Linked DNA regions of Astyanax mexicanus. The protein of the gene in region 2 purifies or fractionates together with the protein of the main gene of each other region. This does not show direct contact. Links are inferred from orthologs where the notes say so. Each region holds a gene or a part of one and is shown on either strand. Other genes may lie near its edges. The genes, in order: maea, mkln1 and zmynd19.

The links.
Region 1: the proteins of mkln1 (region 2) and maea purify together in Homo sapiens (affinity purification with western blotting; 3 studies listed by BioGRID and IntAct, with this or other methods). This does not show direct contact. The link is inferred for Astyanax mexicanus from reciprocal best matches to the Homo sapiens genes MKLN1 and MAEA.
Region 3: the proteins of mkln1 (region 2) and zmynd19 purify together in Homo sapiens (affinity purification with mass spectrometry; 3 studies listed by BioGRID and IntAct, with this or other methods). This does not show direct contact. The link is inferred for Astyanax mexicanus from reciprocal best matches to the Homo sapiens genes MKLN1 and ZMYND19.

The regions. Positions count from the first base shown.
Region 1 is NC_064417.1:22,351,574-22,362,785, forward strand, and holds the start of maea (E3 ubiquitin-protein transferase MAEA), read right to left. Parts: upstream 4,854-11,212; 5' UTR 4,815-4,853; coding exon 4,746-4,814; intron 3,068-4,745; exon of another isoform or gene 2,922-3,067; intron 1,409-2,921; coding exon 1,223-1,408; intron 1,021-1,222; coding exon 817-1,020; intron 659-816; coding exon 536-658; intron 210-535; coding exon 133-209; intron 1-132.
Region 2 is NC_064409.1:8,361,617-8,372,401, reverse strand, and holds the start of mkln1 (muskelin), read left to right. Parts: upstream 1-5,386; 5' UTR 5,387-5,402; coding exon 5,403-5,482; intron 5,483-7,612; coding exon 7,613-7,682; intron 7,683-10,785. UniProt on the Homo sapiens protein: Component of the CTLH E3 ubiquitin-protein ligase complex that selectively accepts ubiquitin from UBE2H and mediates ubiquitination and subsequent proteasomal degradation of the transcription factor HBP1.
Region 3 is NC_064408.1:19,971,552-19,982,506, reverse strand, and holds the start of zmynd19 (zinc finger MYND domain-containing protein 19), read right to left. Parts: upstream 5,480-10,955; 5' UTR 5,296-5,479; coding exon 5,245-5,295; intron 1,748-5,244; coding exon 1,688-1,747; intron 903-1,687; coding exon 796-902; intron 674-795; coding exon 533-673; intron 277-532; coding exon 96-276; intron 1-95. Other genes in the region: bspry (B box and SPRY domain-containing protein), read left to right, coding at 9,354-9,752. UniProt on the Homo sapiens protein: May be involved as a regulatory molecule in GPR24/MCH-R1 signaling.

The DNA.
Region 1 (11,212 bases), on a different chromosome or scaffold from region 2:
AACAAAAAGAAATGACAAAGAAAATCAGATTTAGACCACCTTTAGCTGCTGTTGAAGATAGCCTAAATCTTGTTCACTGTAAAAGGATGTGCTCATTACAAAGACAAATTGTGTATTCTACATTTTACATACCTTACTGCATCCATGCGTTTGTTCTGTCGAATGAGCTCAATAAACTCCTGGATCCTCAAACTGAACTCCAAACAGCTCTGAAAGGAGAATTTACTGCATTTTAAACAATTAATTTTAAATTCTGCTTGCCACTGCTTAAGCTTGGTTTGTGCTACATGGGTGCATCCAATATTCTGTGATCCTTTATGGGAGCCATTTTATCCTCCACCTATGCAGTGCTGGCACAGACACTGGCAAGAACATAGTTCCAAACATGATGTATCTTCTCCCATGCTTAACAGTTGGCAGGGTGTTCTGTTATTTAAATTCAATTCACTATTTTTTCTCCAAACATGTCTCTGATAGTTATAGGTATTTATATGTAAATCTTATTTTAAATTCAAACATAGCAAATCTGCCGTACCTTCATTTTCCGCAGACGAGATTTGTTGTCATGGCACCAGGCCAGACAGGTGGCTGTTTCCTGTCTTTCTAGTGATTCTTCCACTTCCTTTGCAGTGAGAAACATCTCAATGTTGACCAAATCCTGGCAGAATAACATCCAAATTAATTACAAATAACAATCAATAACTAAACAAAACTAATTTTTCAGTAAACACATCCAATATTTAATGTACAAGTTCTTAGTCTGTTCTCATCCTTTTTCCTACACACTTACACATACAAAGCAGAGAGAGAGCTCACCTCAATGCCACTTTGCCTGGCAAGCTTGACTGCGGTGTTGTAGTAGCCGCAGCGCAGCAAATGCTCCACCATCATACGGTCCATGCGTTTCCTCTTCCACACACTGACATTGGCAGGCTGGTCACTGCTGTGCTCCTTTAGATGTTCAATGCGTCGCTTACAGAGCTTAGCACTCTCATCCTCTGCTTGGATGGACTCTGCCGCCTTCACAAAGATCAAAATCTGTTAGAACTCTCCCGCCAACGTACCTGTTAGGCCTCAGTTGAATGTTTACCTATTACAAATTACTTATATTAATGAAATACTGATGACTAAATGATGATTTAGCTGATTTGAAATGTGTTTGTATGTGTGTAACCTGTAAGTGAACAATCCACTGTAATGAACTGTTCCCATGGTAGCTTACCTTTCTTTTGAGTGCGCTGAGCTTTTCAACTACACCGTCCAAGAGTGAGACCACTGAGTCCACCACAGGGAAGGAGCTGCTGAGGGTTTTTTCCAGCTCAGCAACCACCATGGTCACGTGACTGGTCTCCCGGTCTATATTCTTCTGAGCCGCACGGAAGCGCTTATTTAGGGTCTCATAGGGAACCTATAGAGTGCACAAATAAATAGATATTTACAGATAGCTGTGTAAGCAATCATATCAGTATACTGCCGAACTGATCTATTTTAGAATTATAGGTGTGCAATATGAAAATATTTTATAAATGGATTCCCTGTCTAAGTGTTTGTGTCCATAAAGCTGACATACGTGACATGCATGGACGTTGAGAAGAGTTGGATTTCAGCACAACACCAATTTTTTTTTTCTCTGTTATGATTAAAGATTGATTCAGCTTTTACACTGTACATGACCATTGTTCAGTAGATCCAGACGACACTACTTGTACTCAGAACAAACTTTGGTTTGTGGCCCCTTTCACATCTCAACTTCTGAAAATCCGGACTTTATTTGAAGAACTCCATCATAGTTAAAGAAAAAATAGAAACAAATGAAGGCCATACCAAACTATTTTCAGCTTTAAACTGCTTTAATGTGTGAATAAATACTGGATGTTGTTTGAAAAGTCTCTCCTTTAATAAATACTATAAGTGTTAAATGAAAATCTAAAAAAGGAGGCTGATATTCTGACATTAACAGCACTAGCCTTTACAAAAATGTGAGTTATCCACAATATATGGAAATCAATACATTTTGTTGTATTATATATTGCCTATTGTGTTGTATATAAATTGTATGTTTCATTTATTTAGGTTATTACAAAAAAAAAAGATTCCAACTTCAGTGCTTTAATACACTAATCTTAAAGCCCATTACTCTTTGAAGGGATATTATTGCATAATCATGCTTTTATGTTATCATTATATCAGTGGCAAAATGTGGTCCTAAGAAGACAATAATACTGTGTATAAGATGTATTGCTGGGATTACAAAAACAGTTATAGGTCTGGAGAGCAATAAAAATAGGCTAACAAACAGCAAACCTGGGCAGTAATTTCCATATCCACCACACTTATAAGGCTGTAATATAAGGCTGGAGGCAATGAACGTGGTTAGTGGTTAGATAACTAATAAATCATCATCATAATGATCATCATCATCAGTTCATTGTCAGTACATCCCAACGATGCTAAAAGCAATCACTGTCTAACTGCCATGCCTTTAACACAGCACATCACACACATGATCTTTTTGTTCTCACACCTGACAGCAAGCAAGGAGGAACCTGCATCATTTATATTCTGTATACGTGCTCAGCACCGGTACTAGATAATGGAACATTACACAGTGGAACAAATGCTCCCTGGTTTTGCTCCAACAATGCACAAAAGCACTCTCTCGCATCACACAACATGCCTAAGCGTCACGATCGCTGTTTTTATTCCCAAGCACTGCATGCTTCAATCTTCCAGGAGTGGAAAACAGCTAAATCTGTGACGCAGAGAACAAAGGTGGCATGCCAGCCATCAAACATTGGGCTCCCTCACGCCCAGACACAGTGTGTGTGTTCATCTACGCCGATTAAAGCATGTTTTATGGGCTATCCGGAGTGAGATCTCAGCTAGGCTAAACCCGATGCCCTCCACACACCAACACGTACCCCTGTCCGACCCCTGCGTGCATTCCTCCAGCGTGGATCAGCAGGAGCTGCCAGCTCTGGCTACCACACAGCCTTCCAGTCTGGCTTTCGTGGGGGACTAAAGACAGCTAACGTTAGTGGTCACCACCGTCCTGCACTGACACAGTCACGACCACCTGGGTTCCTTTTTAATAAATAACTCCTCTACCATCTAACTAGCTAAAAATGGCTACATGTGTGGCTGTATTTAGCTAGATGAGCCGATGATTATTTAAAAAACAATGGTTGATTATAAGGGCAAACCTAGGTTAGCTAACATAGCTAACTAGCTAGCTGATCTAGCTAGCTGCTCAGTACATCTTGGGTTACGTCATGCTAGCCAAATGGCTAGCCAATTACCTAGCTAGCAACCTGACAGCAGATAGTGATACATTTGAGCAGATAGACTGGTCTAACTTAGGGTTATTTCAGAGCACAAACGGTTTTAGCACAACTAGCAGGCAATCTGCTAGCTAGCCAGCTATGCTAACACATATAACGTTACCTAGATATATATGTGTCAATATAATTTAAATCTGTGGTTCGTTAAATTTAACATGAATATAAAAAATGAGTTAGCTTAGCAATTACTCTCACACAGTGAGCTAGTTAACGCTAGCTAGCCCTGAGCTAACCCTTTTAATTCTTATGTAGGCAGTTGACGCTAGCTAGCTAACTTAACACTATGCATTCCTTTCAGAATCTGCTATAGTTAGTTTTTAGGCCCATTACACTGCAGGATTGTATCTAGCGTAATGTCAAGCGGTCTGTCTTTCGTTATTTCGTAACATTAAAACAAATGAACAAAACCAGTGACATTAACGCTAGCTATAGTTAGCTTTACGTCGAGAATACAAGTAGCTACTAGCTAGCTAACAATACTCACGATAATGTACTTTTATTATGCTACGTTAGCGAAACTAGGTTAGTCCTCAAGCTAACCGTCTTGCCCTTTAACTAGCAAAGTACACGGTCGTTTAGCGAGCAATTTGTTTATCTCGCTTGCTTAGTTTTTTAGCGTTGGCTAACCTAGGTTAACTAGATAGCTAGGTTAACTAACTTACCTAATTACCCTGAAATAAGTGGATTTAGGTGGATCAGTAAATGGTCGTTTGAGTAATATGTGTATATCGTGGGTTGTTAGCTACATTTGAAATTTCATTTATTTCACTCATGTCAATCGTGCATTCGCATTTACTGTGCTAACGTTACAATAGTTTGAATTTAATCAGCTATAATGATCAGTGTAGCGTTGTGACAGTAGTCTGCTTTAGTTTTTATTTATTTATTTTTTTGTTAGCTACATAACATAGATGTTAGGCCCGTTTGCCTGTAGAGACATTTATAATGTCAGTCAGCCAGTCTGTCTGTCTGTCTGTCGTTATTTGAGGCTCAGCCTCCACAAACCAGTTAACTACAAATTCAGTACAGGAACGTTAACCTAGCTAACGCTAACAACGCGTCCAGCATACGATAATGTAGCTGTTTTTATTAGCTAAGTTACTGTTAAAGAAATGCGTAAAACAGACGGGCTTATTAATACTGGTATCCCTGCAGTGTCAAAAGCCCTCGATGTCCGTTCACCCCTCTCTCTCCTTCATTGTATCTACACCTCTCTCTATCTCTCGCTGACTTGTTTTGCTAACTCGCTTTAGCCCCGCTAGCTTGCAGACTTCTCGCCTGGTTCTCAATCCGCTGACACCTTAATTAACCTGACATCTCCCCCCATCATCAGTCTAGATCAGCCCAGCCTAATCCAGTGCTTCAGTCCGCGTGCTGTGAAGGGTGGAAGCGGCGCGTACAGACCTTCAGAGTCGGGTATTCCTGAACCTTCAGAGCCATGGAGAGTTGAGCAGCTGTTTCTTGCACCGCCATCTTCGTTTGGGGAGAACGGTATGTGCTCTTGCTCGTCGCTCGCCCTCACTGTAGTTCTAATGGAGAACCTTTCTCTACTGACCCCTAACGGCACCCAGTACCGTGTTCGTGTTTTTTTGCACCCTGCATGCTGGTACACTGGTCAGGGCCCAGTTTCCCAAAGTATCTTAGCATTAAAGGAGAAATTCGGTGTGAAATGGACTTAGGGGGTAGTGAAAAATGAAAACGAGTGCAAACCATTGTCAAATAGCCCCCAGACTTTAGAAATACAGCATTTTGCTGATGCTACCAACAGGCTTACAATGCTTGCGATAGGGGCATAGCGTAGCCATGCAAAGAAATCAACATTTTCACACCACTGTTTAGAAATCACAATTTTTATGCCCTGTTTTATAAAAAAAGGCTGTTTATACACACACTACCTTGAGGTAGTTCTCGATAAGTCGAGCACACATGAATAGGTATTTTTCACAATATAAGGCATACTTGAAATCCTTTTCCCAATTTTTTCCAAAAATCGTCAGTGCGCCTTTTAATCCAGTGCACTTTGTGTATAAATTGTGTATTCATACATTTCCCGTGAATTATTTTTTTAAATTAAGTTTGTACTCGTTAAAGCTTCTCGCTTAACCATCTAAGAATTATTTTACTGCGAAGGACCTTTGCTGAAACCCACCCAGAACCCAGTTTCTACAAAAAACTGTGAGCATTTAGATCTAAATAGCTAACTGATAGAAAGAGAATAGTGTGTATTACTATTGTGTTCTAGTAAACAGAAATAGGTAGAACAAAAGTCAGCAAGGGTCCGGCCTATTGGTATTTTGGTGAAGTAATATTAATGCTCAGTTACAGGTACTCAAGTAGTGTGTAAAAAATATTGATATATCATCATATCAAATTATTTTGTATTGCAATTTGTATCGATTGTCAAAGCGCAGTATAGCTTTTTAATTATTTTACATACAAGGTGATATACCCTGATTTATTTAATCAAGATTTTATTTATCTATATCAACCACGGCCACTGGAAAGTGTTTAGATCCTTGTTCTGATTGCACAAATATAAACTTTCTTTGACTCAGACATAATAAATATGATAGTATGTTCTTTGTACTGTGACAGTTTTCCTACAATTTAATTTAATTTAAACAATCAAAATATATTTAAATATAAAATATATAGCTTACAGTATTACAATATATAGAAATTGTGAGATTTTGAATTGTAACAGTTACATTTTAGTCTTTAACATTTTACCACTGATAATTTAAACAAATTGCTGATGCTCCGAATATTTGCCATCCAAAAATATTTAGCCAAAATGTAATCTTAATTTAGACAATGTTTAATAATATAGTGCTTTGTTATGTCTGCTGGGATGTTAAGTGTTTTGTAAATGTTTTTTTTTTCTTTGAAAAGCAAGACAACAGAACATTGATAATGGTGAAATAAGTTCCCAGTAAATGATACACATAAATATTACCTGTCAGGATTCCTTGGGTAAAATTCACATAATTTTATTTAACAAATAAAATTAATTAGTTACAATAAAAATCACTGCTTTTGTAAATGTTACTAAAACTAAAATACAGTAAGTATAGACAATACACTTGTCAGAGCTAGTTTTAAAGTGAAATACTTTGCAGGACAGAACAGGAACTCAAAGCAGAGGGGGCACAGTAATCCAACTGAGGGGGCATCTGGGAATAGAAAGCCCTGCCAGGTGTACTGTCTGTACTCCAAGGACACACAGTACACCGTCCTCCAAGAGTGCAATAGGAATTCTGCTGTACTTGGCCGGAGTACTGATTTGGAGCACAATAGCAACACTGGGCAGTATTCCACACAAGGCAAGTGTAAGCAGGGTGGAAAAAGTGTAGTTGTTTTCCACTGAAATAAGTTGCTAGGAGTTAGCCATGCATGCAACAGGTATTGCAGTAAAACATATATGTAAAAATGTTCCACTATCCATTGTTATTTGAGCAAGAAAATGTGACTTGGTTCATAGAAATACCAACAAAATAATGTGTATGGTATTGTAAATCTTCAGTCAATCTATGCATACCTAAAAGATTTCAAATTTCAAAGTTTCAAAATTGTACAGTACTGGGGAGAGAATAAAGTGTCCTTCAATATTTAGTAATATGTAAGTAAAGTACCAGATGTTCTTAAAAATTAAAAAAGAAATGAGTAACCAAGTACATAAACACAAATGTTTTACACCCCTGCTAGTTAGAACATGAGTCGCCTACGCTTATTGGCACACAGCCTGTGTGTTTGGAACTCCTCAAAAGGAAGGCTATGCTGATGTACTCTACATAAAGGGCACCACTGTAAAACGCAAGTTTGTAAAAGGGGTGTGTCCTCAGACTTCTGTCAGATCAGTTACGGGTCAGGCTTTTAGTGAGGGTTCCCTTCTCTTTCTCACAATGTAAATTATAAAAAAGATCATTATACTATTATTATAAGATTAGGTTTGGGTGTTCCCAAGCCATCCTGTTAGATAAAAGGTCTTAATCATTTTAAATACTGCTGTCCCATGACTTCACAGCATGACATAAGTGGGAGTGTGTGTGGGGGTGTGTGTATCAATACACACATATATTTAGTTTTCAAATACCATTGGAAATCCTACATGTTCGTCGTACAGTAATACTGATAATGTTGGAATGATAGAATATAGGGATGTGTATTGGCAAAAACTTGGAGATACAATACACATCACGATTACAGGCTTACAATTCAATATATTGCAATAGAAATGCTTTTGGCACATTTTAGACAAAACTGTTCTAGTATAAAAACACACAACATGTTTATAAAATCAGAATGAAAGAAAAGTTAACTGTTTATGCAAATTAGAACAGTGGGATCTCACGACAGTGTACCGGTACTGCCATCTAGTGATTGGGGTTTAAACACAGCACAGCATGCCTGTGTTGCCAAGATAACAATGAACGATGAATGTCTGACTGTTGATTGTTGCCTAGGTTGCATTCAGTGTACCTGTGTTTCCACTGCATACATAGCAATACGCCAGAACCTGAACACACCTTACTTCCAGAGCACCACACCTATAGGCACAGATATGTTCGTAAGCTCTGTCCCTGTTTAAGCGATGCAGACGGAAGCGTAAAAAAAGGCTGTTCGTGGGGTGTAAGGTAGCAATTAGCAAAATAGGGTCTAAAGAGAGGGATTAAGTCTATGATTCTATTTTAAAGAAAAATCTCCATTCAGAATGCTGTGTAGTCCCAGACTATGCTTAGTCCATGTCTAGGAAACCGCCCCAATATACAGTGCTTGCAAAATTATTCATACCCCTTGAATGTTTTCACATTTTGTCACTGTACAACAACCACAAACTTAAATGTATTTTATTAGGTGAAAAGTTCAGAGGGTATGAATGCTTTTGCAAGCCACTGTATTTTTGATAAAAATCTTGTTTTGACCAAACATTTCTGTTTTTCAGATATCTGTCACCAAAATTTCAAACAGTTCTGACTCGGTAAGATTCTCTCATACAGAGCACATCAGGCCACTTTTGTAACTTTTGTTCACATCTTAAACTTTTAATCAGATCATTGGAGTTCCCCTTTTAACCACAGTAGGAGAACATGTTTTAAGCTGGGTCTTCACCGTGCCAAAACTTTCATTTGATGAAAAAGAGCTATTTTTCCACTCTCTGTCCATCCCCTCCTCACCATCCCCCCATTACACTCGTTCACCTCCTCCCTGCCTCCCTCTTTCCCCACCCCACAGCATGCTCAGATTTCGGTTTCCTGCATGAAACCCTCCCCCAGTCAGCCTGAGCAATGAGCCACGATTCGATTGGATCTTTTCCAAAGGCAGCCCACGGTCGCCAGGCCTGATTGGTCCGTTTCAGTTTTGTTCCCCTCCTCTCGGTCCTCATGCTTTACCCAATTCCCAGGCACACTGAGGGACTGAGCCTCCAAAGCGGGTGATGCAAGGTTTGTCATTGTTTTTGCCCCCCTTTCTTTCCCCCCTCTGAGCTGTGTGTGCTTGTCAGTGCCCGGCCTCTGAGTGCTCTGACACAGGCTTTCTGTTTCTCTCTCTCTCTTTCTCTCTCTCTTTTCCACAGACAGGGAGAGGCAGTCAGGGGCTGGTTTGGTGGGGCTGCCTTTCTAGCTGACACACTGATTTTGAGGGAAGTGGTAGTTTTAGAGGAAAGAAAAGAGAGAGGGAGAAAAGAAACAGAATGGCCGAGTTGGAGGTGGTTGTGATAGACTAATATCGATTATAATATCGATTAATATCAGCCTATCAGTGGCATTTCTGCTTATCTCAATATAACTTCACGCATGGTTGAGTGCCGGTTTACGCTTGAGCTCAGTTGTGCTTTCTGTCTTCAATTGAATTTAGCTTTTCTAAGATTTGAAGACACTTCATTGATTTCTTCAGAACCAGTCACACTTCAGTGGAAAACACACGCCCCCCATGCACTGTACTTACAAACTGACAAAAAACAGGTCTTGATTTGTGGGGGTGTACAAGAGGATGCAACCCCCCCAGTGTGGAAACAAAAATAAGAGAAGAATCATTTCCCTCTAAACTTTATCCTTATCAGTGGTTTGATATGTATACATGTTCTTGAAAAGATGCCATAGAAAAAACATTTTTGTAGAAGATTCGAAGAAGTCAAAAAGGTTTTTCTATGGCATTCCTCTAAGAACTTTAAGACTGTACACAGTGGACAAAAGTCAGAATCCAGTTGAATCCAAATTACATTATGTACGTTATGTACATAAGTACAAGGTACAATTTTGTTTAGAGATATAGTACTATTTATAAAGTATAGCTCAAATTTAACATATAAACTGACATGTCTTAAGGCATTTTAAATAGCACTATTTAAAATGATTATATGAACAAATGACATATCATGGGCTGGCTTGGGAACACATGCAACACATTCCTCTAGTTTTATATTAACAGAAACTTCACCCCAAATATTTGCTGCTGTTTTCCATTTTCACACCTACTCATTAAATTGTCTATAGAAGCAAAAATTGGGTCCTTCGGCAAGTAATTATAATGTTATACTACGTCATAATTATGAGATCTGATACATAGTAAATTCTCTTCAGTGTGATTGGATCAGAATTAATCATTGTGGCTGTTCAAACTGTGTCAAAGAGTGTATCAGATTTCATGACCACATAAGAAAGTGGTTCAAATTGATGTTGATGTCAGATTCAGTGTGTGTGTGTGATGGAAAAAGAGGGGTGCTCACTGTGTTTGTGTGAGGTGGAGAGAATGTGGGATCTGTATGTGTGGTGGAGAGAGAGGGAGGCTTGCTGTGTGTGTGTGTGTGTGTGTGTGTGTGATAGAGAGGTATAGAGAGCGGTGTGACTGCTGTGTGTGTGTGTGTGTGTGTGTGTTTGTGTGTGTGTGTGTGGAAGAGAGAGGTGGGGAGGGAGGGGGTGCTTGCTGTGTTTGTGTGTGTTTAGCCCGAGTGCTTGATTAAGCTTGTTAGCTCACTAGCCTGTTGTTGTTATTTTGGCGTGGTTGCAGCCTCCAGTTTCAGCCATAAAGCGACGACTGTAAACATCTTTCTTGTCCATCATTTCAACGTGTCCGGCCGGATACTACGGTATTTTTTTACTGAGGAAAACGACAAAAAAGGAATGCACAGTGACATGGATGAGTAACTTTAATCTGATTACTAGATTGGGAATAGTAATGTGTTAAATTACTTATTGCTAAAAAAAAAAAAAAGGAAGTAAATATTGCTTTACGGCTCATTGGCTGTGAGAAATGTACATACAACCCCTTTACAGCGGCCTAACTTTAGTCATAGAATTCAGAAGTCAACATAGTAAACAAAGTAATGTTAATTTAAGTCTTTACCGTCCTCTGTAGAAATGCTCCTGTCTGCAAGGCAAGATGGCTTCTAAATGTGAATTTGAAACTTAAAACCTCTTTTTCAGCAGAGCTGCACATACAGAGTGTGTAAATCAGGCCATCTTCAGAGACACAGCAGAAAAGACGGCACGCCTACCCCTTAAAGATTCCACCGCAGGTCGTGAAGATTTCCACACAGCGGTGTTGCTGGATGTGTCAGGTCTAATCAGAGCCGTGCTATCAGAGCCTGATCTTTTGCACGTTTCTCTGCTTCTGCGATGAGCACAAGACGAAAGCAAGGCGACTGCACCTGAGTGGTGTAGACCCGTGGGTGAATATTCCTTTCAAGAGTTGGGGAAGACCTACTGGTCTGTTTTCTTCAATACCACATTTTCTGGTTTCACATTTACTCATGGTTCCTGCTTGTGCTAAATGCTTAGGCGTGAGACATTGTCCAAAGGTCAAAGTGAACCATGTCTATTGTGTTTAAAACAATAGGGCCTAAAATCATCACGCAAGCCTCCACAATGCAACCT
Region 2 (10,785 bases):
GCAGAGAATGATAATCAGCAGTCAGACACAATTAAACTGGTTTGGATGTGGATTTTATCACATCGTGCTTGTGTGTGCATTAGGAACAACCTGACCTGGACAGTTAGAGATGAGAGAGGAGGGAGTGAGAGGATACTGAGAGAGTATTGAGAAAGAGAAAGAGGAAAAAAGGCAGAATAAGGGCGTTTTCACACTTGCACTTTTTAGTACAGTTAAATCGGACTCTCTAGGTTTGTTTTCACCCTTTTTCACAACCGTTTGGACTGGTGCAAATACAGTTCAGCTCTACTTTACCAAGTCTCCTCAGAGGAGTTGGTCTTGGTCCAATCCCAAATGAGCTCTTGAGTGGTTTATTTGGGATGAAAATGGGATCCAACCTCAATCTGGACCAGCTATCAAGTGTACTCAGCAGGTGCTCTTTAAACTGGTATGTTACCCTGACAATTACTGCAGTTATAAACAAATCCCATCTCAGCTGTCATCTTGCATGCTAATTGCTTCTACTAACTACTTTGTGACTATGTAGGATATAGATAAAAGTGTCAACATAGAGTATACTAAAAATCTCCAATGCATACAAGGAATTAGGCATGTTGTATGGTTACAGGAGACACAATTTTCCCATAATGAAATGCCAAATGTAAAGTAAGGAGCTGCGCATGTCTGAAAAAATTTGGAATAAAAAATGTTGGATATTGATGCAATTGCAGCAGCCATGGAGGCCAAAGAGTAAATATTCATACCTTTCTTAATAATAGATTTGCAAAGATCTTGTCAAAAAAGAGTCTTTGCAATGTTTAGGCTTTCCAAGTACTAGTCCCAGGTCCCATGATATCTGCCATGCATGGCAGCTAAAGAATGCTGCACTGAGCTGTGGGTTTCTGATTTTTGAGTTGCTTGCCTGTTCTCATGGACAAGTCTTGCAAGACTCCATCAGTCCCAATCATTACCACTCACTGCACTGTTCACTGCAGGTGGTAATGCCTTCTATGATGTATTCGCAGTACACAACAGACTTGTGTATTATGTGGTTAGAGAAATGTTAAAGGCCTTTACAACTTCAGAAATAGATGTTTCCATCCATCTGGCACCCCTCTATCAAGCCTCTAGGATATTTTATAATTTACGCCACCTTGCCATGAGCATGCTGGTCAGTTTCCAAACTAACTTACAAAATACCATCTCACAGCTCTGAGAAACAATATGAGACCATTTCAGTTTCTGAATTACTTTTTCTCACTTTGCTAATTATAGGTATATGTTTGAGTAAAATGAACATTGTTGTTTTATTCTATAAACTACGGACAACATCGCTTCATCAATATTTGGTGAAATAACCCTGGTTTTTAATCACAGTTTTTATGCATCTTGGCATGTTCTCCTCCACCAGTTTTACACACTGCTTTTGGATAACTTTATGCCACTCCTGGTGCAAAAATTCAAGCAGTTCAGCTTGGTTTGATGGCTTGTGATCATCCACCTTCCTCTTGATTATATTCTCATAACTTTTAAGTGGTCTCTTATTTTTTTCAGAGCCGTCCCGGAGGTAACACTTCAGGATCAATTCACATACTTCTATTCCATGACCTTTGGCATGTCAGTGTACTTCTCAATCTCAATATAACAACAAAATGTGCCATTTTACCAACGGTGCTCAATAATAATTGAGTATTATGTTGTTAGTGCTAAAAGTATGTGCTTCCTTTTAGGTCTTCATCACATCGGGGTGTACTGCTGATTGTGTGAACTCCTGAAGAAGGACGTCCAGTGGCTGGTAAAAAGACCCCCCTCCAGAGAAGTGTATTAAAGAGGATTACAGCCCCCCTCCTGACTCCTTTCTGGCCGTGTTTCTGGACTGGCCCTGTGATCTGGCAAACTCTTACAGTCCGGGTACAGTCATGGACAGCTGCCAGTGAGCCACTCACCAGTGCAACAGCGAAACAGAGGAATCCTGTGAGCTCAAGCAGAGGGCTTTAGTGAGCTGCTAATCAAATAAAAGGAGAGCTGGAGAAACATGAGATTTATTGGTCTCAGCATTGTCCTCTCCATCAGTCCAAAAAGTTCAGGTTCAGGGGTGGTTCAGGGTGAACTGCACTCATCAGGAGAAATGCTTCGTTCTTCTATAATTAAATGTCCAAACAGGAAGAGGAAAGAACAGGGAACAGTGTTAACACATGGCAGGTCAATGCCATTCATTCAAGCCTGGCATCCACTAGACACACAGGTTGAGAATTGTTCTTAAAAATAAACTCTACAAAATTATTTAAAAAACACGAATAATAAACCTGTTGAAGTTCATGTCTGGCATGTTTAACATTGTTGCTTTTGCTTCACATGTTCTTTTTAGCACAAATCTGATGAACAGTCAAATCAGTCAATCCATTTGGCGAAATATAGTGAATTTTGGTAACTTGTAATCAAGTAAATTTAAAAGCTAACAGTTAAATTTGGGTCATATTGTAACACCTTAGCCTTTGTATGTCTTGTGTTTTTCCTTTTAATTGTCGTTCCTGTCCTGCTTTTTAATCAGTTTTGTTTTCCTAGCCATGTGCTTCTTAGCACATGGTTCTGTCTTGTCTCCTCCCTTGTCTCTGCCTTAGCCCCACCCAGTTACCCTGCAACCTCGTTTCCTCACCCAGGTGTTTCCTGTTTCCCAGTTTTTATATATACTAGTGTTAGTTTGCTGTTTGTTTTATCCACATTCCTGTCATGTTTTGTGTCAGTTAAGTTTCTGGTTGGTTTTCTTTAGTTTGTCTTTCTTTGTTTTAGTCTTTTTTAAGTCTTAGTGTTGTTTGTTTCTTTGTCTCAGTTTTGTTCTTTATTTGTTTTTAAAATGTCAGAACATAAAACTGACTTGCTTTTGCATCCCGCCTCAAAAGTGTTACACATGTACTACATTTCTAACAACACTCGTAAGTCTTCGTAAGCTAGTTAGCTATGCTATAACATTAGATGAAGGGTTGGGTTAGCACAGCTAGCTATTATATAAGTAGCTCCTGCAAACTGCATTTACTTAGAAAGCGATACATGTTTGAAATAAAATGACTGGATATTATTTAAAAATTTATTTGAAAACCTCCTAAAAGTAGGCGTGGCAAAATAAGGTAGATACTGACTTTATTCATTTTAAACCAATCACAGCAACCAACATTTTCCCCTCAGCATTAAAAATTACTACTTCTCTCTCAAATACTTTAGCAATCATAGGCCTACAAGTCTCAGCCTCTGTAAATGAGTGAACTGCCTGCTTTGAATGTGTGTGAAATTGAATACAACTCTTTTTCTAAGTTCTTTAATGAAAATGATAAAAGCAAAAAGAAAACCGGATTAAAGTGATGCAGAAATCTCAGGATGATTACAAAACCAACACTGAGTTTTTGAAATGGCTTAGTTTTTACAGTCACATAAAGGGACAAAAACACTGAAAACCTCACAAGTTCACAAAACACTTTTTTTTCCCTCAGGCTTTTGGTGATTTGTTCATCATCATAAAGGCGGAACAAAGTATGAAAACCAGGACTAGTTTATGGGTTATTATGTATTCATCATAACATGAATATGCATGCTGTGCAGAAAAGAAGAAATGTTCCATGGTGAATGTCTTGGATTCACTGCTTGGCTTTAGAGTGTATTCAGTGCACAGCCTTCCCAGTGCTGTCTGTAATAGGATTCTATATTCCACTGGAACTGGAGGCTGCTGAAACAGCCAGTATTGGTGCCATTATCATAGTCTGAAAGGCAGCCATCCAAGAAAGAAGCCCCTGCTAGAAAATTAACACCATCAAACTCTACAAAAGGTTGCATCTGACCACATCAACAAAGAAAGGGCCTTTGGAGGAAAAAATGTTATGGTCAGTTGGCAAGTCAAAGCTATTGTAGCGTCATTGAAGACAGAAATGAGACTGGACCATGCTCCCACTGACCAAAATGAGTCAATGAGCAGAGATTCTCTCTTAAAACGGCGGACCCTCCACCCCAATTCCAGACAGGCAAACAATGACAACAAGGCCACACAAAATATAACCCCCTCAAACCAACACAAACTTCCAACAACCCAAAATAAAGAGAAAGGGAAACCAGTGAGTATGCCAGCCAGGACTTATGGACAGATGAAGTTACATGTGCTTTCCATATAGGTTACAGAGCCTGCATTTTAACAAATTGTGATGAAATTATAAGAAAAAGTGTATGATATTAATTTAAAGAGCACACACAGATCTTTCTGGTTTAACTTTTAAATTATTTTACTGTGATTATTATTTTTTTTATTATTATTTTCATTTTTAACACCAATTGTTAGAAATAGTTAAAATAAGATTCAGGAGTTAGCTTCAAAGTTGACTTGAGTTTATGCTCCAGCAGACAGAAAATTATACACAAGCTCAGCTTGTTAAGTCACCATCTGGATTTAAGTAAGTAAATGATGTGGGGCTGATGCTGCAGTTGGTCTGCAGGTCTAGGTACAGCAACAGTATGTGCTGAAAGAATGAGGTCAGATGACTACCTGACTACCTGAATAAAGACCAGATTATTCCATCAATGGATTTTTTCTTCCCAAATGGCACGGCCATATTCTAATACCAGGACTCATGGGGCTGGAATTGTGAAAGAGTGATTCAGGGAGCATGAGATCATCATTTTCACAGATGGAATGTTCACCACAGAGTCCAGAATTTAACCTCATTAAGAATCTTCGGGATGTGCTGGAGAAGGCTTTGTGCAGCTGTCTGACTGAATAAATAAATGTTATATTATTTACGTGTGCAACGTGTTTATTATCCCATAGCTCTTTTAACTGATAACTTTTTTAAAATGATTTTTTGAAATAAGGGACAAAATATGTCCTTCATTTTGAGAGATTATTGAATTAATGCCACAATGAATGTGGGCCGGAATCAAAGCTAAAGTGGTCCAACAAAATATTAGAGTGTGTGACCTGATTTTTTTGTGGCCAGGCACATATAAAACGAGAAATGTCATAAAACGAGAAATGTCTGCAGAGACGGATGGCCACCAACTCTCAACAACAGGTGGTTGAGGGATGCAGTGTTTTTAGTGTCAAGGGAAATAGGAAGATCGGGAGTGAGACAGTTGAAAACCTAAAGAAAACACAATTTGTTGTAGTCAGAATCCAAATGTAGGAGGGCATGTTTTGTCCCTTATTTCAAGAATATGTTATCAGACACGTCAATAATATAATACCAATCCATAAATGTATTAAAGCCTGCCTTTTTCGCTGCTTTATTTAGTAAGTAGATAAGAGTTGGTAACTAGATAAGCTACTTATTCCAGAAAATGATAGCTAACCTAGTTGTTCTTTTTCCTGCAGCACCGTCTCTTTAAGAAGCTGTCACTCCCACATTAGACTTGTAGATTGCGTTACTTGTTATTTGTGCAACAAGATGGCGGTGGCTCCCGAGAGCAGAGTGCTTTCCTACAGTGTTTATAAATGGAGTTCTTACTCCTCGACATATTTACCGGAGTGAGTAACGCCGCGAAAAGCCGCGGGAGTCTCTGTTGTTAGCGCCTTTGCGGTGTCGGTGTCAGTACAGTGCAGAATATTAAACTCGGGGCCTGACTTGGACAACGGGCCGAGCAGCACTCCACCTACTAAACTGAGATAGCACTTAGCTAAGCTAGCTAACTATATTAACGGATAGCTTAGCTAACTTACCTGTTTATTACTTAAATTATCTAAAACACTAGGCTGACTGAGGCGCCATGATTAGTTAACCGCTTTACTCAGCTATTTAGCTGCAGCAGTTCATGCATTTCTTTATTGTTTGCCTTTAGCTAACAAGCAGAGCGGGCTAGCTTAGCTTAGCTTAACTAAACTACCTAGCGTTAGCTATCCAGGTGCAGATAGCATTAGAATTAGCTAGCTAGCTTGCTAGCCAGCTATCGGTAGCTTAGATAAGATAACCTAAAGTGCACATAGCTAAACGTACTTAACTGGCTTATCGGGGTAATATTACAAGAAGTTAGCTAACTGTTAATTAGCTAACCTAGCTAATATACATTAGATAAAGCTTGTAAAGCTGTAGCTAGGTTAACATAGCTTAGCTTAGCCAGGCTAAGCTAGCTACATAATGTATGTGAGGAAAACACAGGGTGAACTGACAGCTCGCTCCTCTTCATATTACAGCAGCTAGCTAGCTATAGATACCTTGCTCTATTTACCTTTTATAGCCTTTATAGAATTCTAGCAAATGTCTCTCTTTTATTTATAACTTAAACTATTTGTGTCATCGTGCAGCTTTGAGAACTCGGGTCAGAGCCAAACCCAATATTAGCCCTAAGTTTATTTTTGGTGCTTCATGAATCTTGCTTGTTGGCTGTTTAGCTGCTATTAGTGGAGTAACGTGAGACACCAAAAGCAGTGACCCACGTTTACACCACTATTTCTGTCTCTTGTAGGCTATTTATCACACATGTTATCTTGCTAGCTAGTAAACTAGGTTATGTAAGCAAAGCCTTAATGTGGCCAAATAGTATAAACTAAAAACTAGGGCAATCGAACCTCTCTGTGTACCGTGTAATGTAATGCTATTTTGTAACGTTAGTTTGCTAATGCTGTTCATACACTACAAGACTTTGAACAGGCTCTTTAAGGATTTTAACAGACTAAAGTCTGACAACCTCTCACATCTAAAGACAATTCACAGACGTTTTCGTCGAAGACTTTTTAGTCACAGACTTTTCAGTCACAGGCTAAGGTTTTGCAAAAACTAAAAATCACTGTTTGCAAGACTTCAACTAGATTCTTTCTGAGATTATTTCCCATCATGGTTCGGGTGGAGTTCACATACAATACATATTACATATTAAGTTACAAATAATGCTATATCAATACTATGATTTATCAGACGCACAGCTTTTGTCCACAACAACAACTGTGTTCAACTCTGCCTATAAGCTTTGTTTTCCCCCCTTTTTGCTAGAAAACTTGTATAGCAAAGAATCACAGTTTCACTGCTAGACATTTGGCTTTGTTTTAGATATAATTAATGCAATTAAAAACAATTCTTGCAAAATATGTATTTTTAAACATGTATGAAAAATAACACTGCGCAAGAAGACAAAGTAGTGCAAAAAAAAAAACTTTAAATATAGTGACTTTAAAGTGCTACCTGTGTTTAAAATACTGTAAATATGTAAGTAACAACCATGTAAGGCATATTAACTGCAAATACGTTCTTATTCAAAAAGTTTGTAAACAGTCATGTAAAATATCCTTGTCTTGTGGCTTCCCACAGCTCTCCTATTGGTTGTTAATATTGTTCTAGTCACTCTTTGCGTGAGCTTTCAATCCTAACTACCTACTACTAACACTGAACGACCGTGATGAAGCAACTGCAACTCGACTGAAGCTCAACTCTAGCAAGAGTATCCCAATTCTGGAAATGTCTGTGACAGTGAAATGGCTTGAAAATCATTAGATGTAAGGTCGGCATAATCTAGCTAAGAGTCTTACTCAAGTTTACCCAAGTTACATTACCTTCAGAATGTTGCTGAAAGGCTTATTTTGTTAGTAATAGGAAAGCCGGTTTAGGAAATCTCACCAAACATGGCATTTACTAGCCAACTAATGCTTTGCTTTCTTTACCTGCAGAAACATTTTGGTGGACAAGCCCAGCGACCAGTCTTCCAGGTGGTCCTCTGAAAGCAATTATCCTCCACAGGTGAATATCTAAACTTCATTCTGCAACATGTTTCATATTTGTGATGTAGAATATGTAGAAAGTTGCCTACAGAATTCAGCATTCAGATTTACTGAACATCCTAAGAGTTTATCTGATCTTCTTTACAGAATGTAGGAGTGACTGGTTTGTTCTGAAGATAAAACTAGCTTCTTTTGAAAGTTTATTTAAGCACTTACAGCTCTGTTTCATCCATTTAACAAATAAGATATACAGGTTAAGAAAGTGTTATTTTTATTTGTGTATGTAAGGATTTTAGCCTTAAAATAGTTACATTCCTGTGCATACAGAGAGAAACCAAAACGTTAGAGGAACTATGGAGTTTTAAGCCCCTTTTGAAGAGTAGTAAGCCCCTTTTGCAACAGTAGAGTACATTTTATAAGTAGTAGAGTTTGTTATATAGTATAGTTAGACTTTAGTCGTTGATTTGTTTGTCTGCTTGTAGCATGAATGTGCTAATATTTGTATTTTAACATATTTTTATAATGAATCATACACCCTGAACTGAATGCATTTGGCTTGAAAGAGGGAAAAGTTGTTTGTGGCTGTAGTTGCGTATTTAAATTATTGATCACTCTGTGTATTACATGTGCAAAGTCCTTGCATTTGTACTTTTGGAAAGGGCAGCACATATCATCGATTCGTAGATATAGTATTTCATTTTTATGGGCCGTTTTTTGTGAGCATTACTAAAATGTGCTCAGAAGTTTTGAACATTGGAAGTTGGTTTATTTTTTTTTCTAAAGCATTTTTCAGGGTTCAAAATGTAGTTAGGTAAATGGATGTTGTTGGTAATTAAGATAACCAGCTAATGTTTAGTTTAAGTCTGAAATAGATATTCCTATGCACAACTGCACTGCAGAGTGCAAAGTGTCGTTAAATGAGTTTGCTGTCTCTGCTCTTTTCTAATACTCCCAGTTCTGGGCTAAGTGATGTACTGTTGAGAGGGGTATCTGGCCTGCAACTCTGAAGATTTTATCTGATTAGTGTGTTTGTGCTGAAAATTATCTGATGACTGCATGTGGTAAATCAATATAAAATCTGATCGCTGGTACGAATCCTGGTTATACAGCTTACCTTCAGCTGAGGGAGTCCTGAGAGAGCACAATTGGCCTTGCTCTGTCTGGGTAGGTAAATGGTGCTCTTTTAAACACATCACTCCTAAGGGTGATGTTGATCAGCACAAGGCGTCTGTGAGCTGATGTATCAGAACCAAGTCGCTGCGCTTGGAGATTTTTCTAGAAAAATTAAAATATAGTCAGAAATATGCATAATCTACACAAAATGTATGTAAAAGTTATTTTCCTATTATATTTGCTCCTAGTTGCTGGTACTGTTGGTTTAGCAGTTTAACTTATTTAGACCATATCAAGCAAAATTTAGTTTTTCATTTCAGCATTTTGCAAACAGAATTTTAAGAAAAATTAAAAGGATAATTTTCAGATTTGTCCATTTTTGTGTCTTGTAAGACAAATCTGATGGTATAATTTAACTTGCAGAATACAAAAATGGAAAAATCAGAAAATAAAGAAAAGTTATTATTTTTTTTCCCCAGAAATTCTGATTGTGAGGGGCAGAGATGAGAAAACTAAAATTGTAACATAAAATACTACATTAAAACTAAATAAACTAAGTTTTTACATACAATTTTCTATTTTTTCGTTTTGCCTCAAACACTCCGAAAAATAAATTAATAAACGTTTCACTGTTACACTGTTGCATAATATAAACCAGAAAACCTTAAAATCACTCAATCAGCACAGACTGCCAATGTTGCATGTGTAGTTACTAATGTCAGTTTCAGTTACAAAGTTTGTAAAATGCTCAACAAATAATTCTTGCTTTGTTTAGGTCTTAATTTATAATGATAAATGCATATTATTCATTATTAAGCGTTATTTCACTATTTATTTTTGCTCAGATCTAATGAAGCTGGTCATGAATTCTGTGCTCCACAATATGATGACCATGTGTTTCTTTACATCCCAAGATGAACCTCTTTAGCCATATTCCGGTTCCTAATCTCATTTTGGAAAGAGGAAGTGGCCTGTTGTCTCCTTGGCATGCAGCATGCAGTGCTGTCAGTCTTGTGGTTAGGCAGAAAGGAAATCGAAAGTGCTGTCTGGGGTACATTCTCATGCACATTCAACTTTTAACCCCTGTTTTCACTAAAAGCCTGAAGTGCTGTGGTGTTTTTGTACCACACCTACCTCAGCCTGACAAGGCAGGTATACTTACTGTGTGGACATGTGATAAAGCTACTTGTTTTCATGTGATCTACAGACATGTTCATGTCAATGCACTGGCTTTTTAAAACGTATCTTTTTTAGCTAGTGTCGTGTTTCGTTATTTCCATTTGGCAGTGGTTGTGGTTGACGATTTTCTTTGCCATTGCTCCATTTCATCCTTACCTGTAAACATCCAGAGAATTAACACAAATACAAACAAAATGTGTGCACAGTGTGAACAGAAGGTTCTGTTCCTATTTCTATTTAACATTTGAGTACAAACGATGCCTTATCACGGTATTTACATGTTATAACAGTATGTTCTGTGGGCCAGTAGCCATGGTAAGTTTGTGAACCAGCAATTGGAAGATAATGAGCTCAAAACACAGATTTGTCTAGGTACTCCTGGTTCTGCCTGTGGGCAAGATACACAGTCCTGCTGCATTAGAATAAATAGCCAACAATAGACAGTTTTCATTGCAAGTGGATGAATAGAGCATAACTAATAATTAGGCTGTCACCATGATTGTTATCCATTTATCTTACAATATATGGGAATTGCCACAATCATTTTTGTAGACCTCAACATTGTCTATTAGATTTTTCCTAATAAGGAAAGCCCATCAATGTGAATAATCAATTAACCCAATATGTAAAAAAAAAATGTTTTTGTTTTGTAGTTTGGTGGAATAATCCTGTTTTTTAATCACAGTTTTCATGCATCTTGGCATCATGTTCTCCTCCACCAGTCTTACACACTGCTTTTGGATAACTTTATGCCACTCCTGGTGCAAAAATTCAAGCAGTTCAGTTTGGTTTGATGGCTTGTGATCTTCCATCTTCCTCTTGATTATATT
Region 3 (10,955 bases), on a different chromosome or scaffold from region 2:
ATCCAGATACAAATGGATAAGCCCGATAGCTGTAATGCAGGGTTTGGACAAACATCAAAACGAAATAACAGGAACAGTTACAGGACAGTACTCACCCTCCTTTCAATAAGTGAACAAGGGGGATAATGACATTCGTAGTACGTGCAAGAGCACTCCTCTTCCTCCACAAGCTCTCCGTTAGCGTTGTAGTAGCGTGTGCGGCTTAGCTCCAGATACTGCTCCTCAACTGGGTCTGCTGGTACCTGCTGGATGGCCAGCCAGTAGAGTGACTGCTCTCTGTGGAAAGACCACACACACAGATAAACACACTAAATCTCAGGAGGCAGACATAAGTAAAAGGCATAAGACTTTGCTGAATGTTCCCTACTGAAGGCCAGTCATTTCAAAACTAAAATAACAGACTTAAGAGCACTTTCCTATGTAGTGTTTACACCAGAACATGGTGATCTCTTACTGTAATTCAAGAGTCACTGTATTAGATTAAACTGGTGGCACCAATCCTCCAGGAGGGAGCACAGTAAACTTAGGTTACCTCTGTTTGCTGGACAGCTCCTCTGGTTTGGGACTCCAGCCAACAGGAACGAGGCGCAGGTTGTCTAGACGGTTGTCCACTGTGACTGAGTTAATGTGGACGACTTGGAAACTAGGAGCAATGCCACCTCTGTGCTTTTCCCTGTACAAACACACACACACAACAGGTTAAACTTGAATATAAACATCCTTCTTTTTAACAGATAAATTCACCTGATACATATTCATGAGAACAATTCTACTCATTAAGAACCTAAAACTCACCAAAGTAATTCATGCAGGGGACGACCAGCCCATCGGCCTTTACCAATGTCAAAAGCATATGCAAAGATTTTTGCTCCGTTGCCGTCGGCATCAACCTCCATGCGAGCCTGAAAAAAATCATTAAGCACGTTAAGAAATTAAGTTTCGTGCTCAATATGAAGAAACAGAACAAGCTGTGAATATAAATGCTTATAACGAAGACTTAACGAAGACACAATACACTTTTTCACCGAAAACCTGCATAATTTATTCTTTACAACTGCAAATTTAAACATCAATCATTAGATAGTTTATATATATATATATATATATATATATATATATATATATATATATATATATCTTTTTTTTCTTCCTTGGTTACTATTCTTGTCTATTTTACTTAGTGATAATGTAAATCTGGCAATTTTTTTTTACAATGTGTTAGAATTTAATACAGATGCTCCAAAATTACTAATGAGCTTCCATTAAATGTTAAGAAACCCGTTTCCTTCTCCTTTAAATTTGCCATTATAGAGAGAAAGGTTTTCGGTAAGATTATCATTCTTCTCAATTTGGTATAAGCAGAAGTATATATGTATGAGATGTTTTTATTTTCAGCACCTTGAAACATAGACTCAGGTCCTCCAACATATATAGTGACCTACAACATTGCAATCTTTGTGTGTTGTTTTCCAAAGCTAGTTAAATACAGTCTAAATAACCATTAGATAGCCTGTTAAAATGTTGTGTTAGCATAGCTAGGTACTTTATGATCAGTTTCCACAGCAGTCTTTGAACATACCACCACCATAAATCTAAAATTACTGGAAATTCTAACACAAGAGTGAAATAAACAAAAAGTGGGTGTGGCAGAATAAAATGGACACACAGACAGAGTCTAATTCCTCACCTCAAAGGCATAGTTTTCCACCAATGGTATGTCCTGCTCATCTATGAGGGTGTACTTTGTCTGAAAGAGAAAGAGAGAAAGAGAGTAAGAGAGAGAAAGAGAGAGAGAAAGATCAATCAATCGTTATTATTGAAGTCACAAGCTATTTAGGCTGTCAATCACAATCCTCATATCACAAGAAATTGAAAAACCCTTTTTATTTTGGATCATTAATCATGAACATTTGATTTGTTGTTAAAAAAAAAAAAAAAAAAAAAAACAGCTGTGTCCGATTCAGATTTTGAAGTAAAAAAAATAGTAGATACAAAAAGACATGTGACAGTGGTGACATGCATCACAGCATGTGCAACACCAATACAAACAGCCAATAAAAAGCATTCACTTCATCTAATTTTTATTAGTGGAGTAAAATTGCATGCCCAAAGACTAAAATGCTTAAGTGCTGAGATAATGACAGATCTCCACTGGCATTGTGTATTAGTACACATCATTAGTCTACCAAGGCCTTCAGTCATGCAGCTCCAGCCCACACCTATCCAAACTGATCTCTGTTTACCAGCTGCCCTCTAGTGTCACAGCAGGAGCGGCCTGGCACAGACACACTGGAGCTATAGCTAGATTTATAGCCTAAAATGACACCAACAATACAATTCCCAACTCAGTTCCTACTAATCTATAAAGTGATCTAAATTAGTAGTTAACTAAATACTTAATCTAGTCATAGTAATAGTAGAGAATTTAGTCTATTTTTGGACTAATGATAATATTAGATACATCAAATTAAAGTTATAGCAATAAGAATTACAATTTATTTTCACTAGTAAGAAAGCAATTATATGTAATTGTAGTTAGTTTGATTGTTTTTACAATCAAAAATGTCACTATTCATAAGAGAGTGAGGGAGCATTTTACAATAAGCATATCAATTAACAGTCATAAACGATACTAACTGGTTAAGCAATGTCTGGAATAACAATTATAACGCTATTAAACACTGTAAACATAATAAAACGTCATTATTAATAAAGGCTTAACTAACAACATAATCTGTTGTAAGTACTGTTAATTAAATAATGTACTGTTATTGTAAAGTGTTACTGTGAGTAAAATCCCAAAATAACATTACAAACAGGTATTGGTGATGGGGTTGTGACTAGTAAAAATAACAGGAACACTTTACTTAGATGGTCAATGTATGGCATCATTGATGCTCAACTGACATTCAACTGCATGTCTATTAAATGCAAATCAATGCTATGTGGAATGTAAATAACACAAAATAGAACCGAACCCTACGCCTAACCCTTACCGTAACCATTTTTTTAACCCTAAAAATAAATGATTTAATTATCTATTCAGTGTAACCCCACACCCAACTCTAACCCAAACTTTAATCTTAACATTTAGAGATTGGGTTAAGGGTTAGAAATGTTATAGTTAAGGATAAGATTAGGGTTAGGTGTACGGTTAGATTTTAGGGTTGATTAATGATTGAGGTTATGGTTAGATTTTAGGGTTAAATAATAGTTAGTTCAGTTCTATTTTCAATCATTTACATTCCACATAGGGTTAATTTGCATTTAATAGACGTGAATTTGAATGTTAGGTAAATGTTAGACAATGGGGCCATCAAATGGACCATCCAAGTAAAGTGGTACAAAAATAACATTAGGACAGATGTTTATGTTGAAGATGTGGCAAGTAAAAAGAACATTTAAGACTGGTGAGAATTGTGATGGTGATGTGGCTAGTAATAACATTAAGGGCAGGTGAAAATGGTAAGGATGGCTCTGTTTTTAGCACAGATCTGATATTAAAATATAGTACGTCTAGCTAAACGTTAGATGACACCTGAAGTAAAAGTCTTTACTACGAAAATTGCTTTACACAGAACTCTAACTGGGAGATAATAGCCATTGTTGGTGTGATTTTAGGCTGAAAAGGCTTGACTAACACAACAATAGCAGCAAAGCTAGGGGCTAACTTGCTAAGCTAGCAAGCTATAGACCTATAGTTACACCGTGTAACCTAATGTTAGCTCCCACTGTAGCGAACTAGGTTAACTGTTACTGGGTTATCTAGATAAATAATAGCTAGCTTGTGATCTCTCTATGTTATGTAGTTTAATACGCTATAGATGCGTAGTCTTTAGTTAATCGGGCTAGCTGTTGTACGTAGCCCGCTGTTGAAACTCCTCCACTCAGCAGACATGCCGCCGGTTTGAGTCACGTTGCAGCGGTTCCTGGTTCAGAGATTTGCCGACTCGTCTCCTGATTAAATGTCCGGCTAGCTAACCGAGTGCTAAGTTCATTTAAGCCGGCTGCTTAAGAAACATCGTGTAGTATTTTAAACCCCACGTTTCGTTAAATGAGTATCTTAAATTATAAAAAGAGACATGCTGTTTAGGGCCACTATCCACACACACACGCGCTCACCAGCCTTCATAAACCCTGCCGTTTATTTTGCTAGCAGGTTAGCTGCGTTAGCTTCGTTAGCTTGGAAGCTATTCCGGTGTTCTGCCGAGTTATGCTATCCGTCGATACGCGCTTTCTAAAGGCACTGCGCATGCGCTCACCTACACTTTTTAATTATTTCTCCGTTTTTTTAATATGATAAGTGTGTTTATTATCTTTTATGGTTTTTTGAGCATTAAACAACCTGGACTCACAGTCATTGCACAAAAGAAAAAAATGACAATTAATAATAAATAAATAGAAAAATAAAAAATACAAAAAGCAGTTTCTAATTACCTCCCATTACCTTAGCTAACTTCACCCTAATACAGTGATTTATACTATCCAATATATATATAAACATACAGGGATCATGCTCTAATATGGTGCTTCATTTGTATTTTTGCCGCCTTATATATTTTGCCTTAACCATTTCAGGCCACTTGCCACAACAACAGACATGCGTTTTCTTTTTTTCCTAAATGTTTTGTTGCGCAGAACACTAACGTTAATTGAGACCATTTGTTAATCAGAATAGACTAAAAACGATCTTATGAAACAATAGCTTAGCCCTGCCCACTGCAAAAATCCTAGCACTAGAGTCACATAGGCAAATTAAAAAAGCTATTTTTTGTACTAATTGTGTGTGATTTAGAACACTTTTTACCATGTTTATTTTAGTGTTTAGGGATGGCTTGTGAACAAAAAGGACAAGATCAAATCTAAAATCAAAAAATGTTAAGCACTGGCCTCCAATGCAATAGACATAAGACAGTTACTAAATTTATTTAATTTGATTTAATGTTCGTATAGATTTTATATTAGAATATATATAACACATAATTCAGGTCTGAAAGGGTTAAATACAGCTACACTAGGGAAGCACGGTTTGACAACGTAGCACAACTCGACGGAACACCGGTAAAATCGCTTATTCGACCAACAGACACGTTCAGGGGGTGTGTGTTTTAACGACCATCGTGCTGTACTGTAAGTTAGCCGCTGATTTATGCGTTAATCTCTAAATATTGCTAATAAAAGCCTCCTCGCCAGCTCTGTGATCCCCTCCCCTTCGCACATGGCAGTCCCCGGGATCGGTCTCACCTTCCCGGCCACACGGCCAAGTCGAACAATCCCGAGCTTGAAATCCGACATTAGACGGACGGTCTCGCAGGTGATGAGCGGAAGGTTTTAAGCGCAGGTCTGGCGGTTCTCGGGTCTGAAGGCAGTCCGGGCAACCCCTCACCCCGAGTTCCCTACAAGTTCTGTTGTCTGCGAGGGTCAGCCGCTGCCCGACTCTTCCCCACCCGCTACCAAACCACCGCGATGCGCCGCCGCTGAGTGGCGTTGGAAAACCTGCCAGAGAGGGTTGCCAGGTCCAACAAAAATATCCAGCCCAAAGTCAGTGTCAAACCCGCCCTTCAGAAGCTTAAAGCCCAAAAAATATACAGCTCTGGAAAAAAAGAAATAAGAGTCCACTTAAAACGATGAGTTTCTTTGTTTTTACCTAATTGAAAACCTCTGGAATATTGTCAAGAGGAAGATAAATGATCACAATCCATCAGACCAAGCTGAACTGCTTGAATTTTCGCACCAGGAGTGGCATAACGTTATTCAAAAGCAGTGTGTAAGACTGGTGGAGGAGAAAATGCCAAGATGCATGAAAACTGTGATTAAAACCAGGATTATTTCACCAAATATTGATTTCTGAACTCTGAACACTGCACTGTCACTTTACAAAGACAATTACTGTTTACAAACACTGTCATTATAAACTTAACTGAGACACTTATGCTCTTAATTCACACTATTATGCTGCTATAGCTAACTTGCACTCTGGACTTCATGCTGCTGCCACCTGCTTACTCTCCCTATTTTTTGTGTGTTTATCTTGATGTCTATTTTGTTCTATTCTATTTTATTGTATTCTTGTTTTTATTTTATTTTATTTTGTCTATATGTATCTATTTTAACAATTGCTCCTGGGTGTAAACTGGATCGTGAGACCACAATTTCATTCCACCTCATGTACCACATGTGATGCGAATGACAATAAAATCTCCTTGAATCCTTAAAACTTTATGAATATAAACTTGTTTTCTTTGCATTATTTGAGGTCTCAAAGCTCTGCATCTTTTTTTAGTTATTTCTCATTTTCTGGTCTACATGACCATATTTTTATTTGGTATTTGGGCGAAATGTTGTCCCTAGTTTATTGAATAAAACTACAATGTTAATTTTACTCAAATATTTACCAGAAAAACTGATTCAGAAAGTATAGTGGCCTCTTACTTTTTTTCAGAGCTGTATGTCTGTCACACGTTTAAAGCAAATGTCAAAACAAAGATGAGTGTACGACTTATTATTTTGTTTATAAGGGATTCATTATCAGTATTGCTATTTATCATAAAGTCATTAATAATATTGTAAAATTTGTGTTTCATCAATTATTTTATAACAGTTTCATATCCAAGTCAAGAACATTTAATCTCTCTCTCTCTCTTTATCTCCCTTATGTCGTTATGTTCTCCTGGTTCTTATTGTACACGTTTGCCCACCGTGTTCATGTAACATTCAAGGCAGCACACTTGATTTTCAAACATGCTCAAATTGGCGGGAGAATCTCGAATCTGGCAACTCTGCTGCCAGCGTTCACAGGGGGCGGGACAGAGCCCTGCTTCAGCACACACCAACCCCTGAAGAACCCCGAGCGCCTCAGCCAGTTAAAACGCCGCGTATTTGACTGTGTCTGACGTGTGCCTGGCTGCGTACTGGGGTTTGATCCCAGCAGCCAATCAAGGAAGGGAATCTCACTGCAAGCTCCTCCTACCCGCCCGCTTCCGCCGCGTCATTGGCTGGCGCTTCTCTGAGCGCGGGAACGTGGCGCCGTTTTAGCGCGAAATTCCGAGTCAGAGCGTGAACAGATAACCTAGAGCAGTGCTAACTGCTATATACTCAACTAGTATGCAACAAAGTTTTAGTGTTATAAACAGAGGTGTCAAGTTATGAAGTACATATACTTTGTTACCTTGCTTAAGAAGAAATTTTGGTTATCTATACTTTTAACTGGAGTAAAGACGACTTTTTGCCTCTCTTCCTGACTTTTTTACACAATTATCTTAACTTTCTACTCCATATATTACATTACAAATAGCCTTGTTACTTTTACTATTTAATTTCAGCTTGTTTTCATTCCGGATCCATGATCTTTAAAAAAACTATCCAGATAAATCTCTTAAAAACATTTTTTATCATCCCCACCCTTAAAATTACTTTTATTTTTATAATTTAAGTACTTTTTAAACCAGTACTTTTACACTTTTACTTGAGTAAAGTTAATACCCCAACTTTATACACTTTAGATAATTTATACACATTTTACACATCATATTATACACATTAGATGGTTGTTAGTTTGAATTGCATTAGGACTGAAATATTAAATGCAAGACAAAAAGCACATTCTTAAAAATAGCATAGTCAGTGTCACGCAATTTTTTATTTATTTTTTGACATAATATGTATCTAACATGTCAAAATTTCATGATAAGTGTATTGCTACCCATCCAGGGTAATGATTATCTCTAAATGTCCCAGTTTCGTAAGTTCATTGTCTTACTGTGTCTGTTAAATTGACTGATTAGACTCTGGGTGCACTTGCATGACTGTTTTTCATTGATACTGCAGAATCATTAGACTTGACTACCCCATCAGCCCTGGTGGCTCCTACAGGTAGAGTTGGACAGGCAGTGAATTGGTAACTGTGGCTCTGCTGTAGCATTATTTAAAAACAATACAACCATTGTTAATATAGTCAGTGCTGTGTAAAACCATACTTCACCAAGCCTTCTCTGATCTTCTCTGTTATGTTCACCTTAAGGACATGTATGTTGGTGAGAAAAAGTCTATCAGTATATATTAGTATAACAGTGTCCAGGTTTTTGTTAAACATTGGTGGCAACTCTAGGACCAAAAAAATGTCAAATAGTACTTGAAATAAACTTTCTTTAATTGGCTTCCATTGAAAGATAAGAAGTAGTTTTCCTTTACCATTCACTTTATTTTTGTTATGAGGACAGAAATAATTTCTTCCTATATATTTGTGCAGGTGTCAATGAACAGACCAACAGTGCATCACCATACCAGACGTATTTCAATTTTAGGTGACTTTCTACTGTAAGTCAAATAGCATGTTATTTAAATGTATTATGCAAAGTCTTTTTGTTTTTTTTTGGCATAAAGTTTTGTGTGCATAAAGATTTAAAATGTGAAGCAAATACAAAAAACACTAGAATGTATCCTGCTTCAGTATACCCTGGTTGGCTTCAACACACTTTGGAATAAACATTGCTGTGATTTGACTGCATCCAGTCCCAAGGGCACACCTGAGAAAGAGAGCGAGAGAGAGAGTATGTGAGTGTCATTATTGTGCAGTAGGTCTGTGAGAGCATGAGCCACTGGGTTGACCATTAACATCAACCTGCCATTGTTTTCCCATTCCGCCCACTCTGGCTCTTTACAAATGGGATGATTAACTTGGATCTCAACTCTGAAAGCTGCTGAGGGACTCAACTCAGTTAAAGTCAACTATCCAGTTTAGTTGGCTGTCCTGTGAAACTAGAGAGCACTTCCTCTCTCTCTCTCTCTCTCTATCTCTCTCTCTTACTCTTTCTCTCTTTTTTCTTTCTCTGCATCCCTCTTACTCGTTTTTTCTCTCTATCCTTATCGCTCTTTTTCTCTCACTTACTCTCTCTCTATATCTTACTTTTTCCCCTCCCTTAGTCTCAATATATCTTTCTTACTTTCACTGTCTCTTGCTCTCTCTCCCTCTCTCCCTCTCCCTATCTCTCTTTCTTTCTCGCTCTCTCACACTCTCTCTCTCTCTTTCTCTCGCTCGTAAGTTCTCTCTCTCTCTCGCTCATTCGTTCTCTCTCTCTCTCTCTCTCTCTCTCTCTCTCTCTCTCTCTCTCTCTCTCTCTCTCTCTCTTGGAAAAACTGGATCCTCCACCTGGAGCTGGAACTTCCGTGTTGTACACCTGTGACAGGTAGGCCAGGTAGGCCTGGGTGGCAGAACTGGATGCACCTGCTGCGCAGCTAAAAGAACAGCTGAGAAAGGGTAATAGCTATAACTATCTAAGCTTTGTAAAGTAGAGTTTAACGCTGTAGCTGCTGTTTTTAACACAGCTGAAGACTCCCACCTCTCTCCAGCAGTCATGAGTGCTGATTACGGACTTTGTGACTTGGCCGTGGTGTCGCTGCGGGACACCGAGCAGGAGGAGGAGGACCCCGGACTCCGGGGGTCTCAGAAGGAGCACAATAACAACAGCAGGAGCAGGAGCTCGGTGGAGGGGTCTCCTCTCTCTGACACTCTGTCTGAAGACCCCTGGATAAACGTAATTCCGTCCCTTTACTCAAACGGCTCGGTGGCGGGGGCGAGCCCCGCGGCGGACTCCGGCTCCCCGGCTGAAGTGAAGCTCTGCCCCGCACACCAGTCGGAGCTGGACCGGTACTGTAACACCGAGCAGAGGCCGGTCTGCTCGCTGTGTGAAACTCTGGGCTCCTGCCAGGGTCACACAGTCACACAGCTGACCGAACGAGCTACGACCGTCAGGGTGAGTTACTGAAACATTAAGGTAACGTTGTGACAGAAGAATGTAACTCAACTTGTGTTGTTGTTTACTGTCTGTGTGCTTCACATAGGACATAACATACCCAACACTGTGGTTAAGAGATCACTTTAATTTCTGAATCAGTTTCTCTGATTTTGCTATTTATAATTATATGTTATAAGCCAAATTAAAATTGTTGTTTTCTTCTATAAACTACAGACAACATTTATTCCAAATTCCAAATAAAAATATTGTCATTCAGAAAACTGCAGAAAATGAGAAATGGCTAAAAAACAAAAAGGGAGGGCTTTCAGACCTCAAATAATGCAAAATAAAATAAAAAGAAATTATTAATATTCACAAATCATTTAAGAGTTCAGAAACCAATATTTGGTGAAATAAGCCTGTTTTTTTTTATCACAGTTTCACATATTTATCATATTATGTCACAATAAAGATTTAAAGATGATATCCTGTGATAAAAATTATATCACGATACACAGTAATAATCAGAGAAGTATAAAAACAAAGTAGAACTACTTCACTGTTTTACCTGTATCTACTGGAGTATTATTCTTACTCATACTTTAACTTTTACTTTAGTACATACTTTAAATGAGTTTAATATTTTTACTCCTATACATTTTTATGTGCTGCATCCTTAGTCACTACAGTTATACAAAATGTTACACAGCTGCCTCAGCCATGAGTGAATCAAGCTATAAAGCTGTTCTTGTAAGTAGACTGCTCCCATTGCAACTTTCCACTGCTTTCTGTGATAAATACATAGCACAGCATTTGTACTTTTACTTTCAGTATGTCATTAGTTATTATACATTTTAGAATAAACTACTTGCAATACTGAAGTACAAAGTATGCTGCATGCTTTATTAAGTACTACTTAGGTCACTTTTTGACTTGGACTTTTACTCAAGTCTCTATCGCTAGTATTTTATACTGGTAATGTCTGGTAATAATTGCAAAATGTTTAAATCAACTAGACCAGTTTGTGCTCATGTGCTGTTGACATTGATGGCATTCTATGCTACATTCACTTCTACCTACTAGCAATGGGCCATATGGTGAACTATATCACAGCATTTAAGACAGTACTGTTGCACAATATGCAGTATTTAGCAATATTTCCAAATAGATCGATTTTTGAATGAACCAGTTTGTGCTTGTGTGTTGGACATAAAATTAGGA